2 linked regions of the Styela clava genome follow. The protein of the gene in region 1 binds, or shares a complex with, the protein of each later gene. Links are inferred from orthologs where the notes say so. Each region holds a gene or a part of one and is shown on either strand. Other genes may lie near its edges.

Region 1 (10,526 bases):
TATGCAGCACTTCTATCAGGGACTTTTTATGGCACTCGGTAGATTTTTATTTCAAGTCTGAAAGTTTTTGTTTTCACAACGGCATAGTAGGGAGAAACTAATAAAATGCAAAGTAGCATCTAGTTCTCGTATAACCCCTAAAACAGTCTGCAGATGCACTTCCAAAAAAGACAGGCGTTGCGAAAAATGAACGGATCAATTGCATTGTTATGTCATAAACGATGTCAGGCCCAATTGCTGAATAACGGTACACAGCGGTGCATACATGCGTACAAGATTAGGGGTTTTGAAAATCACCATACCGGCCCGAAAATCAACATTTCGAACATGAGCGATCGCAGCCCTCCCTGACTGTACAACTGACGGTACATTATAATAGTTTAGTAATTGTTAGATTAATTTAAAGCCGGTTTTATCATTTTTTATCACTGATATGTTAGCATTTTTTTATTTCATTCGTGCCTCCGCTTGGCGGGTCACAAATAAAACGCGGTAGGTCACTTTGTGACCCGCGGGTCAGTGGTTCGCCATCCCTGGCCTATAAGGTCAATTTTATAAAACTTTTTTACATATTCGGGATGGAGATTGTAAGTTGTAATTGTGTACTGCATGGGTTCTCAAACTTTTGGCGTTGCGGAGCCCTTGAAAAGGTTGACTATTATTCACGGAGCCCCAAAATAAATGTTAAAATTGTTACTTTCCGATTAATATTCCTGAGTAAGTTAAACGTACTTTACTCAATTTAAATACTAAACCATTTTAATAGGGTTAATAAAAGTCATAAATAAATCTAAATTTCAAAGATAAATTGTATAATACTAAAGCTGTAAATTTGACACATGACAAACATATTAATAAATTAGGCGACGAATCTTTTCCCCTCTTGACATTTTTGGAAGACTTAAAAGGTCGCTAATAACGTGCGCGATTGCATTTTGTTACAATCGCCGATTGTTTTCGTCAGCATGGCGTGTTTTTAAACCTCAAACATCTTTACGCCGGTGTTTATTCTCACTAAATCAAAAATTTCCTTCGGCATATACATGTATTGTTCCACAATGACGACGATAATTGCTTTTTCGTTCTCGTGGGGAATAACAAGTTCAATGTGAAAAACATGTTACCATATTATAATCATCGGCGACGAAATGCTAAAAATAATAGTTAATAAAGAGGTAAATCCGCAATTCAAATTTCTTGATTAAAAAGCGTCATTCTAAAATATTAGAACTAAAACTCAAAATGGAAGATAACACTATACGTTTTGTTTCAGCAGACTCACGCCAGAATAAAATTTTTCCACTCTAAAACTACCGACGGAGAACAAATCAAGTTTAACAAATCCCAAGATCGCAAAAATACGACTCCAATTTATTTATAGTTGGCAGTTTATGTTATTTTAGAATAGTATTCTTTCATTTTAGTAATCCTAATAGTAATCTGGAATCGAACGTGAGTAACGATGAGCACAATTAAATTATTACGACAAGACACGCTCACATCGGTCATGAATTGAATATTTTACGCAACAGAAATCTCGTTATCCGTTGTTTTTGAATCGCCAAGAATGTTGCGCATAAATTTCCGATTCCAAATTTGAACCTCCTCCCTCTTAAGAATCCTGGCTGCGCTCCTGCTTATAAATAATGTCATTTTTTAAGTCCGCCACTTTGCCATATTTCGAGGCTATATTGTTGTTAAATTTTATCAAAGCTGTTATTGCTTCTAGGAACAGTTTTAAATTAGCCAGGTCAGTATTTTGAAAAGTAATCGAATAGCTCGCGGAGCCCCTGGGTTTCTCTCGCGGAGCCTTGGGGCTCCGTATGGAGCACTTTGAGAACCTATGGTGTACTGTATTGTGTTTTATTGTATTGCATGATTAAGTTATTCCGCATACTGAATGGAATATTGATTTATGAATGTGACCGTATATTAAGGTGTTTACCGCTGAAGGTTTTTGAATAGGGCTGGTAATTTCAGGTAAAACAATTTAATCGTTAACCGGGTAGATTCAACCGGTTACCTGCGGATTGACGTTTCACGCAATAATTTATAATTTTAGATTGGTACGTCACAATCGTTACAAATTCATTTCGATTGATCTTATCCCGGTATCGCCTTAAAATTATTTACGAATCGAGATAGTTCCATAATCGCGCTACTGCAAGGGATATGTAGCGTGGTTCGAACATACTTCAATAAGACCCGATTCCGGTATTAAACAGACAAATTCTCAGTGTTCGATGAGCAATTTCTACTTTGAGATATCATAAAGAAAAACAGCATCAACTGCGCACTTTTTGGATGACATCGAATATACGATTTTGCAATGAAATCGGGAACAGTATATTTTGGCAAAAAAATTATTCTGAATTTATCGTTTTCAAATTTTTATAATCAGTAATATTTGTACTTCAATTATTTTTACAATTGTTGGGACCTCACCAATACAGTTAGTGATGTTCTTTTGAATTAAACACCCCAGGTGATGAATTTGCGATGAACTAATCATTTTTTATGTACCTTAATTGTACATTATAAAGATGATTTGTACCTGAGATGTCAGTTAACGGTTAAAATAAATCGTAACCGTTAACCATGTAAAATCGGTTAACCGATTGATCGGTTAACCATTTCCAGCCCTATTATTGAAATAATCGTCGCAAGACAATTTTGCCCCGATATCTCCGGACAAAGCACCCTGCATTAGGTCTGATGTTTTTATTGTAATACTAGCATCGATGACCAATGTGATTTTGTTACAGTATTTTATATCGTATACCGAATATCTTTCGCGTGTGTACTGATATTTCCATTCACATCAACTATTTAATACATTTGTCAAAATATTGAGTGATAAGTGTTAAAGTTGCGTGTAGACAATGGTTTAATATGTTAAAGGTTTATATTATATTGGTTATATTATGTTTTATTGTTATTTTATGTTATATTATGTTTTATTATATTATATTGACCGACCTAATATTGAGTATCTGGTTTTGGAGTATTAATTTTGAACCATTAAAGTCAATAAGATAGGCAGAAATATATAGACCTATTTCGTCGAAGCGATAAACAACAACTAACCAGTGAACACCTGAGTGTCGCTGTCTTACGTCTGCAAGGGAACCGAACGAGACAACACCACATCCTTTCGGGAGACGCAAACTGCAAGTAGCTTCAATCGTTTCCTAATCTAACGGACTAATTTAACAAGCATTAGTTAGGGACAGAACTACTAATCCACAACGTCATCAAAAAACCGACATAACCGGTCCAGATTACCAGTTCTCACGACTCTAAAAATTCTTGGTATTATCATTAATTTCAATAAGAGAAGGATGCAGACATCGCAATTCATTGTATCAACTCCTTCACAGTGGGGAACGCGCACTAATATAACCAGGATTAGGGCCATGATCGGGCCCCAATGCAGTGTAACGCCCGTTGATGAAGTAACAAAAATATTAGTCGCGTCCAGAATGCCATCAAAATTTTCCGTAGTACTAACTGCAATTAACGATGAACCGATAATCATGAACGACAATGAACCTGATAAAGTAACCCGTATGCAGAGTCGGTATTATGCAAATTCAATGAAGGTACAGAGTAGGAAAGACGACAAAATTCCCGGCCAAGACAAATCTGACAAATGAAGCTTGCCAACGAGGGCCCTTGGATAAAATCTGGAAAGAGCCCAGATTTGGTAAAACGCAAATTCGGAATGATATATATTAGTAACAACAAAGATGAATGTTCGGCGAAAATGGCCAAGGTATGCCCTGAAAAAACACCTGAATGGGACCCAGATGAGGCGACGATACAGCTGGTCAATACTGAAAGTATGAGCAAGCTGCCAGAATCTAGAAACAACAGCAAAGCATCTGCCCGAGTGGCTAAAGAGAAAAAAGTCTTCATTGATCAACCTTCTGTGAGAACCAGCCAGCAGAATAGTGAAGAATATGTTAATATCAAAATGGATGAAATCCGAGGAAACGTCCAAATGCAGTTGAAAAGCAAAATCATGATGCGAAACCCAAAATGACGACTGCTGATCACTCGTTTCGGGATATGCCAGAAGCTGGCCGAGATAATGACCGCTCCGAAGCAGATGCACTTCGTATATCCAATGACGTGACAAAATTCATATTGGAGGGAAGTTGTAAAGTTTTGCTGAGGGGTTTACTTTCGAGTAATCGAGTAACACCCCGGATGAACACTGCGATTAGAGGGTGGAGAAGTGCAACTAAGCGAAAAGTGCGGCGTTGACTCGTGTAGAGCGATGTGGCAGTGTACAAAGATATTTATTATTGTTAAAAAATTTGTGTTAGCGTATATTTTGTTGTACGAATAACATATCGGGGCATCCGAGTAAAAGTGCCGTACGCACCGTATGCCTAAGCTAATTGGAATATTTAGAAAAATGATTTCTGTCTAAAGCTCAATTTAATAGCACAAAATACGAATAGGATAATAGAGCAAAATTTTTACAGTCGAAATTGGGTTATTATTATTTTGGCATAGTTGGGAAATATGAACTCTTATTTTGGTAGAGTCATGGAACTAATTTTCTGTGAACAGGGAGTCATTAAATGCTAGCGTGGTCTTGTCCGCGCACTGCATATCAAGAAACTATTCCTATTTTAGCAGTGAGTCTTGAAAACAGGAAATTCTCTGCGAAATGAGGTCACATATGTTGAAAAGTCTATGACTTGTGGTTTTTTAGCAAAACGTCGCATTCGTATATATTGCAAAAAGGTTTTACGTAAATTGGGCACTTATGACTCACAATTAAACCTGGACTGTCGCTTTTGATATTATAAAAAGGGTTTATGTTAATTATTTGTATTATTCACGTAATCTTGATCTCAAAAATTAGAAATGGGATTCTAAGTTAAGTTATATTGTAAGAAAATGTTCGTAATTTATTACTATTATTTTAGTTTAGAATTAGTTACAAAGTTGTTAACGTTAAATGTCTTTGAGTTTTGTATTTTAATTTTTTTTGCCAATTGTAAAGTTTAAATGTCTTTCATTCTGGAAATTGCAACATGATGTAGTGATTGGGAATATTGTTGATCAAATGTTGAATATTCAAATGTTCTCACAAAAAACACATGTTGTTGACTTGTAATTGAACCGCAAACGATTTCTGAAAATGTTCGACATGAAGTTTATCCCACCTGTCAATCAATTCACCCACGTTATGAAATGTAATTATTGTATGAATAGGTCATGTGGGATCAAGCATGTTATAAGACTTTGGAATTTCTCATTGATTTAAACTTAGCGTGTATGTATGTATTTTCATTTTTGTGCTTATATCTGAATTTTTATTAGGGCTTAAGGAATTAATACGCATATATTTATATCGTGTATGTATTTGGTTTATGCACTACTCATTTTTAATCTTTTAGGTAATCTTGCTTACTCGTACGACTAAATGACTTGAAACTTTATTTTATTATTATTTTTGAGTTTAATGTTCAATTTATTTTTGATTAAATTGTTCATTATTGATTAATCGGGCGCATCCGAATGGAGAATGTAAGTCGTAATTTCATGTTTTTATTTTGTTATATTGCATAGTAAAGTTATACCGCATACTGAATGCGATTATTTATTGGGATTGTTCCAACTTGTATTTTAAAACTCATAAAAAAACTATAAAACGGAACAGTTGAAAACTCTTAATATAACCAATACTTTCACCCACCAGACTTAGGAACAAAATCGGGGCCACCATGCAAAAACTAAATTGCTGATGAATGTAACATATATTCCGGTTTCAGTGTATTTGAACAATTTCACCTCGGCGGAGTAATTATCTGTAAGTTATATACATACTTTATAAATGAGTAAATATGACTGAGCAGAGAAAAACACTCGAAAAAAATGGAGGCACCACTGGGATTGATTTGAGGGCAATTGTCACGGCAGATTACATTGTCATGACCAACGCACCATATTAGGTGTTTCTAATGAAAGATTAACTTCGGTATCAAGGGTCCTTGGCGATCTACGGTCGATTGTGGATGGTTAAACATAGAGCTGATGTGTCTATGGAATTATTCAATGAACAATGTGATTTTGTTACAATATTTCATATCGTATGCCAATTATCTTTTGTGTGTGTAATGATATTTTCATGCATAAATATCGAATATTTAGCAAAATATTATGTGAAAAGTAGTGACGATTATGATCACTGATAAATGTATATTTCAGTGATCAAGTTGGTGTTTTGAAATTTCGTGTAGACAACGTTTCAATATGTTAAATGTTTATATTAGTTTGGGTATATTATGTTTTTTTTGTATTAACCGAACTAATATTGGAGTGTTTGGTTGTATTAAGGCTTAGACCATAAAATTAAATAAGATCGGCAGATTCGGGTCGCTCTGAGACTCGAGTTGGTGTGGACGAAGACCTCTGTCGTCGAAACGATAAACAATTTACCGATGAACATCTGAGTGTCGCTGTTGTACGTCTGTAAGATCTGCAAGAGAACCGAACGAGACAGCACCACATCAAGAAAATCGCCGTGGAGAGGCAGCCCTGCGAGAAGACGCAAACTGCAAGTAGCTTTAATCGTTTCCTAATCTAATTGACTAATTTAATCAGCATTAGTAAGGGACAGGACTACTGATTCCCAGCGTCGCCAACAAAACGGCAACACCAGTCCAGAATACCAGCCTTTACGAGAGAAATTTTAAAAGAAGAGCTGAGAATTGCATGCTTGCACGTTAATACTTTTCCAAGACATTTATAGGAGATGGTGCTAAATTGGTTCAAGAAGGGGAGGGCGCGCCTTACAAGGGGGAAGAGAAACTTCGGGAAATAATGAGTCTAATCAAACAGGCCATAGAGAGACACAAGAATGTTAGCGGGACGGAAAAGAAACTCTGCAAAGACTTGATAAGACTTTTTGCCGAAATGCAACGCGAACTATCGAGTGCTAAAAAAAGGAATTGGAACAGGCAAAGAAAGAGGTCAAGAAAGCCGAAATTAATCTCGCAACTGTAGAAAAGGGGGCAAAAAAGACCAGTACGAAAGTTAATGTAGAAGATTTCCAAAAGGTATTCAAGACGAATACCAGGCTGGGAAATTGTACATGGAATCCTTATTGGAGGATTCGGCAAATGCGCAGCCAGCGTACGCAGCGGTTAAAGCAATAGAGCCAACGGCTCCAGTGCCATCGCCGCCCTCTTACAGTGCCACTCCAATCAAGCGATAAATCTCCCTAAATTTGTGGGCAATCCACATCGAGATTCCCGAGGGCCTATCAATGGTCGTGGAGAAGGGATTTGACAGCCAACAGGTTAACGTGGTAAGAAATATATTGTCAAATAGTCATTTTCATCAGTCAGTAATTTATTTCTTCACGATACTCAAAAAAGAAGATATATATATATCCGTAAACCATAACTGGTTGCACAAACGACGTTAGGGATGATTTCAATTATTCCGCGAAAGTAGTTCTTACCGTAGTTGAACAATGGCATAGCCATAGATGTGTTGGCGCAGACGATCACCCTGGTACGTTTTATGTAACATCTCAAAATGCCTTACACGATAAGTCTCCGAATTACTTACATTTTCCATTCAACGAATTTATTTAAATATGTCATTACCAGATGCGCATTGTAAATTTATATCCGTTTTTAATTGCTGAAACTCATAATTTGTTTGCTAAATTATTACAAAGACAATCAACTTTATTAATTAATCAAGGGCTACATTCATTGAAAATACCATCTGACTGCAAAACCCGATGGCTGTACATTCAGGCTGTTGTAGATAGAAATACCAATAATCTCTAGCTCTTCAAAACTATTTTTACTAAATTAGTCCCGCCCACTTAAAAGCTGATCCACTACTCACTTGTACAATCGAAGATTATATAAATTCCAGGCTTATTTATTATCTTATCTCCCGTTATAAACTAGCTGGAACAGAGGCTTCAAAAAAATATTCAACCTTGTAAAGTGGAACAACAACACAGAATCAGGGAAGTTTTGGGCTGAAGGATATGCAAAAAATTCCCTGACTTCATTTTCAGAATACTTTGAGTTCGCTAAGCAAGTGTAGCGTACCGACAGACGATGAAATAATTATCCAAGTTCAAAATATCTTCCAATATGGTCTGACGTCAAGTTTCTTCTCAATATTCACTTCAAGTAATGTTATTTTATTCTATTTATTATTCATCAATCTTAATACAACCAAATACTTCAAACAAAAGACAAGCATACAATAAAGCGACAAGTACCAGGTAGCACAATGCAAGAAAACAGAATATACACAATAAAAACACTTTGAACAGTACTGATGATAGCTAATTCCCTGACAACAATCAAAAATACAACGATAAAATAACTGCAATGGCACTGTACTGGAACAATAATATCAGCCTACTGTCTAGCATAAAAACATCCAACAAATCTCCATCCCGCAGTCACAAAACCACAAACAAAGATCCCTGATAACCCACCTGAGACCAGAGGCACTCCCACCGACACTCATGACCAGAATCCAACCACACTGTACCGGTACCAACCACATCACACCACAGCACAGCACACGCTAACAGCCACACCCAAAAAGAACAGAACCGACAGTGTCACAGCGTGTGTCCTCCCAGTGTCCCCATTGTCAAAATACCAAATAAGACAATAATTTCACATGACAGCATTTAAAACCTTCCCCAACCGATCTGTCTGGTGCCATTTTACATGGGTTATTTTTTGTCAACCATTAGGCCCCCAAAGCTTCACTCATGGCTTTTTATTAGCGTGTGATAGAGCTCTATTCAGCAATATATGTAAAACGCACTCATCTAAAAAAAAATTTTTTTACGCCAAAATTCAAAAATTTCTATTGAACTTGCAAGATTTTGTGTCTAGTAGAAGGTTAATAATTATTCCTAGTTAATTAATTTTTATTTTAACCTTTTTTTGTGTTATTTTTCAACAGAACAGCACCAAAACCACTATTATAGCAAGGATGGTCACTCTAAAATTCACGATTGTATTTACTAAATTTTTAAGTTCAAGGCTTCAATTGACAATTTTGATGACGCCACACCTCTAATTATTAGTGCACACGCCCCCCTCAATGCAAAAAATGTTACTTTTTCCGACGGAAATGCGCGTAGAAAGCCGTAAACATTATAATGTGCGCCGTTACGCGTGAAAATTACCATTAATTTTACGTTTTTTTCGCGTTTGAAAATTCTGGATACCTCTGCCAAGTATGGTGCAGTCAAAATCATATTTATCAAAATATCACAGCGCCAGGGATGATATGTCTGACTGAAAATACATGCTAAACCAATAATAAGTCATTATAAAGGAGTTAATGCTATTGATTTTCTGTCTGAGTCGCGTCAACAATTTTACACATCTGAATGGCGATTTTGAAATCAACGCTATTTATACGATTCGCACTTTGCGTCACGGCTGGAGTCTCTTTTTCGTGAATTATACGACTCTACTATTGAACATTGACTGTAAAACATCATTATTAATTTTTAGAGCTAGACTAGGCATAATAATAATGAGTATATGTCATCCGGCTGTGTTAGGTTTAACAGATAAAACAAGGGTCGTCACACAAGCAATGATAGTGCCTCATTCAAATGCTAATGTTGAAAGTATTTTAGTGCAATGAATTGTGCAAAAAACTAACTAAGAAACAGCATAAATACTAATTCACTGAATAAAATACTAGTTATTTAATTTTGCCTTATTCAAAGAAAACAAAAACAATGTTGCACGTCTCATAAGTTACAATAGAAATATATAAAGTCTGAAGTCGTTGGAAGCACATGTAGAAACAACACCAGTGATATCATAGTTAACTTAATATAGTTCGCTCGCGATTTTTTTGTCTTTGTTTATTTAAGTTACACAGTTCTCTCGTTACGCTTGAGTGATGCGTCATGATAAAATGGTGCAATAACGCCTTCTTTGATGTCTGTCGCAAACGCTTTTGCAGGCTCTTTTCAATAAACATAAGTCACACAAGACATATTTCGTCGCGAGAAAAAAACGCTCGTCCCTGTTTAACAAAATAGAAATCAAAAATAGAAATTTGGATGCACGACCCGAAGAGGTGGAAACCGAGTCATAGGGATTCGAATCCTCTGGATTCGGTATTTGTATGTCGTCCATCCCTACCTGGGAGTAACTGAATTCTAACTTTTGCGCTATAATTCTGGCATAGCCCTTTTATCACTATCCAATGAATGCAATCACATAATAGCAGAATTACTCTGCCCCTAGTCCACTTCGATAACTTATGGTACCGAAAAAAATTTTACATCACTTTTCTTTTTGCGCGTAGGATGGGTTTTTAATGAATAAGGTCTATTCAAAATATAGTTCAATTTGTAAGCTGGGAAGTTGAGTTTTCAGAACAGTGTTATCATTACTTATCGATTCTAATCGGTAAGTATGTTGATAGGTATTTGTCTGTATGTCTGTCTGTTGGATGCACGCGATATCTCACGAATACGAGATTGA
Region 2 (10,785 bases), on another chromosome or scaffold:
CTGCCTTACACCGTTACACGAACCTATGAACAAGTACTAAATGGTGCTTATAGCGCCTATCCATATGTCGTCGACCACCGCGAGGTCTTTTATATAAAAGGCAAGTGAATGGGGCTTCTAAATCAAATTATATTTCTCCACGGCCTGAACTAGTTAACACCAAGTGCGATTCAGAATGTTGCAGAAGTTTGACGGAAGACTCATTTTTGGCGCATGTTCCGATGTTCGGTAAACGACGTAAGTACTTTTATTTGGCGTGGTACAACGATTTTGCATGTGTTATTCCTAACCCCCACCTTGCTCTGTCACTCGAAGATTACGTCACTACAACCTCACAATCACGTCAAAGAGCTTGCCAGAGTATAACTACAATCGCCCGAAATGGCATCTTCGGCGGCGATATCGAACTCACTTATTAACGCCAGGTATCGGGATCGTTACGACGAGAGAAATAGCTTGCTCGATTTCGGGTGATCGCATGCGCGTCTTGAATGACAGTTGGTATAGTTTGGAGGACCTTAAGGTTACTGTAGCGTCGTAGTGACGTAATTTTCGAATGACTTAGTCAGATGGGAGTTAAAAATATCATATGTAATATTGTATTTTTTTTTTGGCCCCATTTTTTTTTTATTAATAATGATAGAAATGCAGCGGTAGAACTCATGCCATAGTACTAGACTAGCTGTAGCTTTGAGGTGGATGCCAGGTAATAGCGTAGTAGACGTCATGTCATATGACGTCACCATTCTGAGCCCAAACAAAGTAAATAGACTTCTCGACGAGGACTTTCACAAATATATCGCAACATACCCTCTCAAGCCTTGGGCGTTAGATATATACCAATTACTTACAGTGCGCATGTCGCGAAATAGCTATAGGTTAACCATGCCTTGTTTGGAAGATAAACAGCCAACAAATTGTTGCACAAACAGCCGTCAGGCTGTTGCAATAACTAAGCGCTGCTTGTTGTGGTCGGTGACCGTACATTTGAACCCATGTACATTTGAACCCATGCGTATATCCACGGGTTCAATCTATATGCGGGTGCTAAAACCCATGGGTTAGGGTTAGTATGGGTTTAACTATCCGTGAAACAAAAAAAATTCCATAGGTGCAATAGCATACAGGTGCAATTGTCATGGGTTCAAATGTAATGGAACCGTTGTGGTCATATCGAGTTTCCGTTTTAGACGCCGCAGTACTACATGCCTAATATGGCAAACTATACCTATACGTCATGCGACGCAATCAATCAATCAATCAATCGTTTATTTTGTCATCACAAAAAAACACGTTCAAACATAAAGTGACACAATGAATAAATTACAGTACTAATCATGTTTTTGCGTGACTGGAGTCGCGAGGCACCTAAGAAGGTCTTCAAGCAGCGACACCTACAGCGCTACAGGTTAGAATAAATATAATTAAATAAGGGATAAAATGAATAAATCCTAGGAATAAGTCACATAAGTTACAGCGACATTCGAAATGTATGCGATTATGACACAGTAAAACAGCAGCATTTTTGAGCGGCAGACAAGCAGCATAAAAACAAGCTGTCGTTATGGCAGCGTACTATGCTATTCGAGCACGTCGGTGATAGTCGCTACTGCAAAAATTTTGCCTCGACGATTCAGCATATCCGTGTAAGATTGGGATTCATGAGTAGAACGCCACAAACCGGCAAATATTGTCTGTTTATTTACTTTGGTGCTACTACGAGATACGTGTAGTACTAGTCACCTACATATAGGCACGTATATATATGAATTAGCTTAGTATTGAGAAAATGATTATTTCTGCCGAGTTTTGTAGTACTTTCTGACGTGTTGTGATGTATACTACGTCGTCCACGAAGGAATTGAGCTGCTGCGTTTTGTGTAGTTATTATACAAAACAAATATACATTGGAAGAACAAATTGCAAATTAATTAAGATTAGATCAAATAAGTCATGTCCTCCCACACTAATTTGTATTTATTTTTTACTTTATGTCGTATCAGTGCGTTACAATAAGAAACGTTTTAGTTAAAATCGATAAAACGCAGAAACAGCCCAAATGGAAGAGAATTTTGCTGAAATACGAGCCTTGTTACCCCCAGAATGCGTTCCCATTTGGGATAAAATGATGAGCATTGATATGTCAGAATTTTTTACTGTCAAGAAAAAGACTTTACCCATTGAAGACTGGAAAGGGCATAAAATGCAACCTTCATTCAAAGCTGAAACCGTCCGGTTTGCTTATGAAGATTGGACGCCAAGAGAAGGCGACGTATTCGTTGTGGCCTATCCTAAAACAGGTATAAAATTTATAGTAGTCTTGTATTATTAAATATTTTTGGGATACCATAGATCTTGTGGGATGTAGGTCTTGTTTGCGAAAAAAGGTAACGACTAGTTTTAACATTAATCGTCTAAACTCTAATTAATATAAATTTTTATATTTATCCAACTATTAGTTGTTGCGCATCTTTTGCGTCGCAGACCATAGTCTAGGGACAAAACATATTGTTTGGATCGGACAGTCAAGATTAGATCTCCTGCCGTATTTGATAGTACATTAACATAGTTACCCAATTGATTATATATAAGCACGTCGGGGTTTGTATTAAAAAGGGGCGAGAGACAAGTTGCTTGGCCGAATTCTCTATGGGTTTTTAAAATATCCACATTGAAGCCAGTCATCTACCCATCTCTTATTACAGGACTAAATTGGACAAACGAAATTGTAAAACAATTGTTATACTTTGGACAAGAACGAGACTACAGAATAATGTCAAGTCAGCCAATGGTCATGAGCCTTATTGAAGGAGGGTGGTGTAAGCTATGTTTTCATTTTTGAATCTCATTCGAGAACCATGATTACAATCTAATCATCTTTAATTACTATTCTCTAATAAATGACAAGGTTTTAGTTGAATATTTGATTCAATTTGCTATCTTTGTGATAATCGACCAATGGCCGAACTAAAGTTGCCTACGGCTCTTTATCGTTTATAATTTTGTCTTTGCAGCTGAAAAATACAAAATATTTGATGCAATGCCATTAAAAAAAAGAATATTATGCACACATTTACCTGCACCAGTGATAAATGTCGACAAAATCAAGAAAGTCAACGCGAAGGTAAACATTTCAAAAAATGTATTTCACCCATCTACTCAAATACGATATGTTATGTTTTAGTTTAAAGAGGCGTCCTTACACAGTATACTCTTTTATTCCACATTTTAGTAAAATCAGTTGTTATATATATATATATATTATTAGGGAGTGTTTCATATATTTTGGTTCTGAATTAAAAACACCCGTTTTGTGCCGAACTACTATATATATATACTATTTGTTTTTTATATTTACCCTGGGCCTGGAAAATTTTTGTCAAGAAAGAGTTCCATCTATTATAAACCATTTCGCTGCTCTCCGAAAATTTCAAGTTTACTGTTTCTTCTTAGGTTGTCTACGTGTTGCGCAATCCCAAAGATCAAGCAGTGTCCTGGTTTAACTTCATTCCAAAGTTGCCGAATCTACAAATCGAACCGCTAGATAAATTATTTGGATCAGACTGGGCTACTTTTCTGGACAGCTTTATTGCGGGTATATATTTAACATTTTTATCTTTCCATTTGAGTAGTATATGACTTTACTTTTTATCGGCGACTTTGTCAAGCATGTATGTATATATATGTGTGTGTGTGTTTGTGGGATTAGTGTGTGTGATTTCTTCAAAAAATATATGCACGATCGTGTCATTCCTGTGTGCCTGAGATACACTTTTACCGGAATTCAGAGAACATTTTTTTTTTATATTTAGGCAAAATGCCCATCGGTATGCGTGACGGGGAATGGTATTTGGACCATATTTTAGGATGGCTACAGCATAGAGACGATAAGAATGTGATGTTTTTCTATTACGAAGATATGAAACAGGTATGTACAAAAATGATATCTCATAACAACACACCTTCTGCCATTTTATCATTTATTGCTATATGTTTAAGTTTATATATATATATATATCAAATGTAATAGAATCCGGTAAAAGAATTTAGCAGAATGGCGAAGTTTTTGGATTTAAATCTCACTGAAGAAAACATACGAGAAATTGCCGAGAAAGTTGCCTTTTCGAGCATGAAAAAATCAGATCAAAAAAGCGGAAAAGAAAATGTTGATCAAAATTTGAGAAATCAACTTGGAATACTTAGAAAAGGTGAGGCGTAAATTCATAGCAGAGTCTGCTTTAATGCCAGCACACAGTTGTAGTTCCAAACAGTTGTTCTCGCCATTTTAAAAATCTTTTAAATCAACGCGTTTTCAATTTTTTTTTAATTGTTGAATTGTTAATTAAGAAGTTTATGAGCGTGAGAAATGTGTTATTCTCTTTTTCTTTTAAGTATTCGTTGACTTTGTTTTGACGAAATATTAGATATATATACCAAATTTTTGTGCAAGCTAAGTTCTAGAATAATTTAAAATATCGTATATATAATATAAAACGTTTTTTCTATCAGGTGAAGTTGGTGGTTGGAAAGACCATTTCACGGTTGCTCAATCTGAACAGATGGACAAAGAAGTGAAGAACAAACTTGGAAATACTGATATAAAATTCAAATACACTTTATAGTTAGATAGAAAAAAGTTGAAAATGAAGCACGTTTAAATACAAGTTATTAATATACCTAAATATATGAAATCATGTGTTTTCCTTCTATAGCTGGTTCGACAATATTATATGCTATATACGTTTGGAGAAGCAAGCAAATTCGGCATGTTTTAACACCGCTTTTGTACGCCCTCAATACTTTGTGAATGTCAAAATCATAGCAGTTAACAAATAAAAGTGTGATTTTTCAACTTTGGCATAAACTCTTGATCACAGCGCAGTATATGGGTTCGAGGTCAGATGTGACTGCGTTGAATGCTTAAAACCAGGCAACGCAAAGGCGTGGGAAAAATTGAAGAAATGTCTGTCCCATGACTGTTTATTTAAACCAGGGGTGGGCATCATACGGCCCGCGGTCCAGGTCCAGCCCGCGACGAGATTTTGACTAGCCCGCTGACTGTATCCAACCACACTATGTAATGTGATCCGACGCATCATTCCTGAAAGTTGCCGATCGCTCTACTCCCACCGCACTGTCAGTGCGAGCTGGTGAAACAAACAATTGCTTTAGTGAACAAACAATTGCGTTAGCACACTTGTTAAACAAACAATATAAGGTCAAAGCAGGGAGCGTTGTAAACATTCCCTAGCACTGTTATCAGTCATATTTAAATTCTAAATATAAATAGATTTTAGAAATTAGATTTTATAGATATATATTAGGTTTTATTGACCATGGAATATCCCAAGAAACGTACAGTTGACAGAGAGTGTCGAGCATTTAATAAAGATTGGATACCGAAGTATTTTTTGTAAGAATCCGACCAATCGAGGACTTCATTTTCCCACATCTGGCCCGCCGACTAGAAAAGTTGCCCACACCGGATTTAAACCTTTGGATAGTTGGATAGATATTGCTAGTCTTATAGTTTTGCATTTTATATATAGCATTGTTATATATGTAAACAATTTGAATAAAATATAAGCTTTTGAAGCGTTCAAAACAGACCTGCTAAGTGCTAATTGACCTGAATTTTTTCAGTTGGGTTTGAGTTCGAATGGAAAGTATGTCACGACTCACGAATCTGATTTAATCTGGTGAAATGTTTGCTCGCCAATACACAGGACAACCTTTGAGATTCAGTAAACTAGATTTGTTTTATTGTACAAAGCAACCTACCAAATAGTAAAAATGTAACGTCATCTCTACTATCATACAACACACAAAGCCAAATTATAATTTGCAATAAGGTGTTGTTATTAAAGTTAATGGGGACCAGGTGCAAGATGTAAATTTTATCGTATTGTGATCTTATTGAGAGTACCCTGCGCATATGATGGCCCTTCACCGTAATCTCCAGATAGCGATGTTGGTTGGTTAATTCGTTAAAGCCATGGTCACCGACAACAACTGTTACGCGAAATTAAAATCCCCGATTTTGGTAACACAGAAACTTAATATTATTAAGTTACAGAAAGATAATATTATTCATATTTTCCCCAGTAGAAAGGACAGTTTATAAGACATTTTCTTTCACATTTACATTCACGTACAATAACGGTCAATCTTATACATAATACAATATATTGAATATTGGGAATACGATACAATATAAGGAATACAATATAATGACCTCGTGGTCGTATCGCCCCCCGAGGTCTGTACCAAAAACTTCTTAGTATTTTTTATTGTTGCAATGTTCGTTTTCTGGTTGATGAACAATAAATTTTCTCTCTTTCTCTTAATCATGTGATTGGCGGTGGTTTCTCGCTCGTGAAAAGAGGGATACGATAAACATTTAAATAGATGAGAGCAACTAGAGCCCCTCGGTCGCTTACCAGAAAAAAATAAGTCCAAATGTTGCATCACCATTAAATTCTTACTGGTTAGGCACTGATGGACATGAAAATGCCCAAATACTACACGCGGATATCTATTTTTGGATAAATAACTTATGTCTCCGATGTAGTTGTGCTGGTATCCGACTGTTTTTTTTTCAGCTTTTCACTTCTCTCATTTTGGTTCGCGTATACAATATTGTTCAATTCGATATATTTGTAACCATGCGATACTTGAATAGTTAAAATAATATTTAGTCCGTGTTTTTTTCCTGGTTTTATTTTGGTCGAAGTATTTTAGTCTCCGGTGCTAAAATTGATAAAGCTGGTTGTAATGTGACTCCGTACACTAATTTGCTCCAGTGGTTAACGCGAAAATAAGCTTACGTTCGTTTTTCTTGATCGGTTTATCTTTACGTCTCACAGTCTTTAAGATCCGAATAGTCTATTTGCATTCTGCCTGGTACCGGTACCGGTATTACTTTTTGGTTTGGAGGTATAACAATTGAAGTCGCGATCTAAGATAGGGAAACACTTGAATATCAAGAATGGCGACATCTTTAGGAGCTAACCGATATAATCGTCAAAACTGGGAAGAATCGGTGAGTTGTCAAAATCATTCTGTCAAGTTTATGACTTGATATTCATAGCACCCATACCTGCAAACAATTGAATAAGCTTAATACGGAATAAATATAGAATTAGGAATAAAGCTATAAATACATGAAATAGCTTGGAAAGGTTGAGAAATATACAATTGGACAACCAGAATCAGAACAAAATTATTTTTAATTTTTGCCTGACCTCAAATCGCAGAATCATTTATTTTTGTTTGACTTCTGACATGTATGAACCGAATGATAATAATAAGTATAATTATACAAGTTGATACAGAAATGTCCTAATAAATTGTAGTGTGATGAATATTGAAACTGAAATTTAAATCTTCACTTTCTGACTTTAGGATTTCCCGATTCTATGCCAGACATGCCTTGGAGACAATCCATACATCAGAATGGTAAGTTTTTGTGTTGCCATCGACAGAATTGCTTGTTGTAGTCGTATGTACCGTATTTATTCAATTATAACGCGCACTCGTGTATACTGGTATAACGCGCACCTTTAAATTTTGAATGAAAATTGGTATAAAATTCTTTTTTTTATTTTTTCTCTACTAACTACTGGTAAGCACATAAGGTAACAACTCACAGCATGAACAAAAATTTATTAAAAGCACACAGTAATTCAAAACTCTTCAAAATCGGATTCAGTCTCTGACTTTTGTGCAATTTTTGTTTTCTGGCGTAGTGCAAGTCCATACCTTCTCATAAACTTTTGTGCCCAACCATTAGATGCTTTAAAGGTTGAATCTTTGCAAATCTTTTGTGCACGGAGTCTAATATGGAGCGAAGTGACGATGTACCCACTAGATCTTTGATCAACTATCCAATCATAAAGCTCCTTCTCCAACTCTGGGTACCGGGCTTGTCTCCCTCGCCGCGCTTTCTTTGTTTTGTTCATATCTTTTGAACAACTTTCTGCTTTCTCCAATCTCTGACATTTGTCTCTGGTACATTGAATTCTCTAGAAGCTTTTCTATTTCCATGAGTTTCCGCATAATCAACAACCTCCAGTTTGAATGCAGCCCTATATGCAGAACGTTTTTGTCTTGCCATAATAGATAATGGGTAATATATAATGGGTATCTACAGTACAGTACGATAATGGCAAATAAATATTCTCAACGCAGCGGGAATGTCAAACACATGCTGAGCTGTCGCATGTGCGTGTGCTTGCACGAAATCGAACGCTTGCACGAATGTCAAACGCACGCTGAGCTGTCGCATGTGCGTGTGCTTGCACGAAATCGTCCTGCATTGGAATGTGCATGCGCGAGCGCACGCACGTTTCAGATGTTTAAAACCACATTTTCAATACCGCATTTCTCAGACCTCGTGTATAACGCGCAGCATTGATTTTTGCCTAAAATTCAGTTCAAAATTTTGCGCGTTATAATCGAATAAATACGGTATGTAGCTTATTGTCATGATTCAGTGATTATTTCAATTTTTTTAAATTGAAACATTTCACTTCACTGATTAAAATCCTATAAACAACTAAGTGTAACTGTGTTGCTATCTAATCTACCTCTAGTGACTTTAATAGCTGAAAAATATTCTGATAAGATTTAAGACAAACCAAATTTTTCGATGAAAAAATCTGCAATTATCGGTTAAAAAATCTTAAATTATTACAGCAGTTAACGGATAAAAAATGCTAGTGTCCACAATTTGGACATCCCTGCTATAGATGAATTCAATACAAATATACTTTTCCATACTTTATATACTAATGAGAAGAAATCAACTGTTTTTGTTTTTCATAGACTAAGGAAAAATTTGGCAAAGAATGTAAAATTTGTGATCGACCGTTCACAATATTCCGATGGTGTCCGGGTGCCAGGATGAGATTTAAGAAAACTGAAGTCTGTCAAACTTGTTCAAAACTCAAAAATATCTGCCAAACTTGCCTACTGGATCTCGAATATGGTAAGGATTACGATAAACAAAATTTGTCTAGTTGTATATCTATAAGTTAGTATTAGTACTCTTGAATAAACACTTAAATTTATAAGCCTTATTTTAAATGCATACCGGTAATTATTTCCAACAAGGTAAAGAGATGTTTTTATGCTCGGGCCATGTGATGAAAGAAATGCACTGCATTCCATTAAAACAAATAACCTCCGATATTTTTGCAAAATCTTAGACACATAGCGCGTGTGAAATTTTCGAGGATGTGTAAGCCTATTCAACTAACTACTAATATATTTCATGAATGAAATACGGTTCAAGTAAACAAACGAGAAATGAGATTTTTGGGATGTAGCAGCCATGTTGAAAAATTGGCTACGGCATACTTATGTCAAATTCAATTTCAAAATTGGGACATGCTCTGCTTTTCAGGCAAATGTTTACATTAATTTTCAGGTTTGCCCGTTCAAGTTCGAGACCATGCACTGGGACTGATTGACGATCTTCCCAAATCAGACGTAAACAAAGAATTTTATACTCAAAATATGGAAAGAGAGGTAAATATTATTTCAAGTTTGGTTATAAAATATTTATACACTATTTTCTCAAAATGAGCTTCAGAAATAAATGTTCAAATTTAAACAGTTGAAAAATGCTTGTCTGAAGAAGTTCGACCTCGTATAAATGAAACGTTACAGACATACATTTATGCTAGTGTGCAGCAAGACTCTTGAATTAAATTAAATATTTAAACTGCGAAAAAACACAGTATGACTCTCACATTGCGTCAAATAAAATAGTAATGATTTCAATTTATATTCAACAGTAATCATGTAACTACCCTGAAAAAGGTATATTCTAAGTGGTTCCCAACTAGGATTTTGATCTCGGGAAGGAATTACAGAATATAATTTTGTATTATTATTTAGTTAATACTAGCCTAGCCTATTATTGTAATGCATATTTATCCTCACATTATAAACTATTCAAATTTGCAAAAGCAATCGCGCTCCAGAAGTGTTTGTATGAATATGAAGGTAACTTATTTTGTTTGCCTACTTTACATCAAGTTGTGTAAAAGGACTGAAACCTATGGGCAGGGGTATATTCACTTGGCTAACACTGACAGTCCCCGAACTCGTAATAGAACTAAAATAAAGAAAAAAACGAATAAAAGTATGTCCTAACCCTAACCTGGTACACACACTACGGGAGTACCAAAGCCAGTGTGCGAGTTGCAAATAACATTAGCTCACGATCCCTTGAAAATTGAACAAATAACAGAACAGAATGTTTCTAACATTTTCAACATATTCACAGATTGCTAATACAGATGGAACAGTAGCTGTGGGCTCTGTTGGGAGAAGTCAAGCTGCCAATGATTTGCTAATGAGAATGGCAAGAACCACACCTTATTACAAAAGAAATCAAGCTCATATTTGTTCTTTTTGGGTAAAAGGGGAATGCAAAAGAGGAGAGGAATGTCCTTATAGGTATGAAACATTGCGACTTTGTCTTATTGATCTAGCATTCTATTAAAGGAATGTTGATGTAAAAATAGAATTCCCTCCGAGACCAGGCAACATCATTTAGTCTTGAATATTCTATTATAGACTCATACTGTCTAAAATGAGTTTTTTATTAATCTATTATACTTATTATTATTTACCTGTAATCATCTACAACAGGCATGAATCACCCACTGATCCAGAAGATCCTCTTTCAGACCAAAACATTAAGGATCGTTATTATGGAATTAATGATCCAGTTGCAGATAAAATGATGAAAAGGGCTCAAAATTCTGCTGATAT

What was found.
Region 2: U5 small nuclear ribonucleoprotein 40 kDa protein-like (region 1) and pre-mRNA-splicing factor RBM22-like share a complex: the UniProt entries of both Homo sapiens proteins name them as parts of the postcatalytic spliceosome P complex. The link is inferred for Styela clava from reciprocal best matches to the Homo sapiens genes SNRNP40 and RBM22.

What each region holds. Positions count from the first base shown.
Region 1 is NC_135250.1:11,928,380-11,938,905, forward strand, and holds the start of U5 small nuclear ribonucleoprotein 40 kDa protein-like, read left to right. Parts: upstream 1-6,342; 5' UTR 6,343-6,357; intron 6,358-10,526. UniProt on the Homo sapiens protein: Required for pre-mRNA splicing as component of the activated spliceosome. Component of the U5 small nuclear ribonucleoprotein (snRNP) complex and the U4/U6-U5 tri-snRNP complex, building blocks of the spliceosome.
Region 2 is NC_135260.1:8,227,957-8,238,741, forward strand, and holds the start of pre-mRNA-splicing factor RBM22-like, read left to right. Parts: upstream 1-6,846; 5' UTR 6,847-6,988; coding exon 6,989-7,042; intron 7,043-7,404; coding exon 7,405-7,458; intron 7,459-8,826; coding exon 8,827-8,989; intron 8,990-9,430; coding exon 9,431-9,531; intron 9,532-10,294; coding exon 10,295-10,467; intron 10,468-10,662; coding exon 10,663-10,785. Other genes in the region: cytosolic sulfotransferase 3-like, read left to right, coding at 2,060-2,300, 2,706-2,819, 3,015-3,124, 3,454-3,595, 3,813-3,928, 4,031-4,208, 4,510-4,622. UniProt on the Homo sapiens protein: Required for pre-mRNA splicing as component of the activated spliceosome. Involved in the first step of pre-mRNA splicing.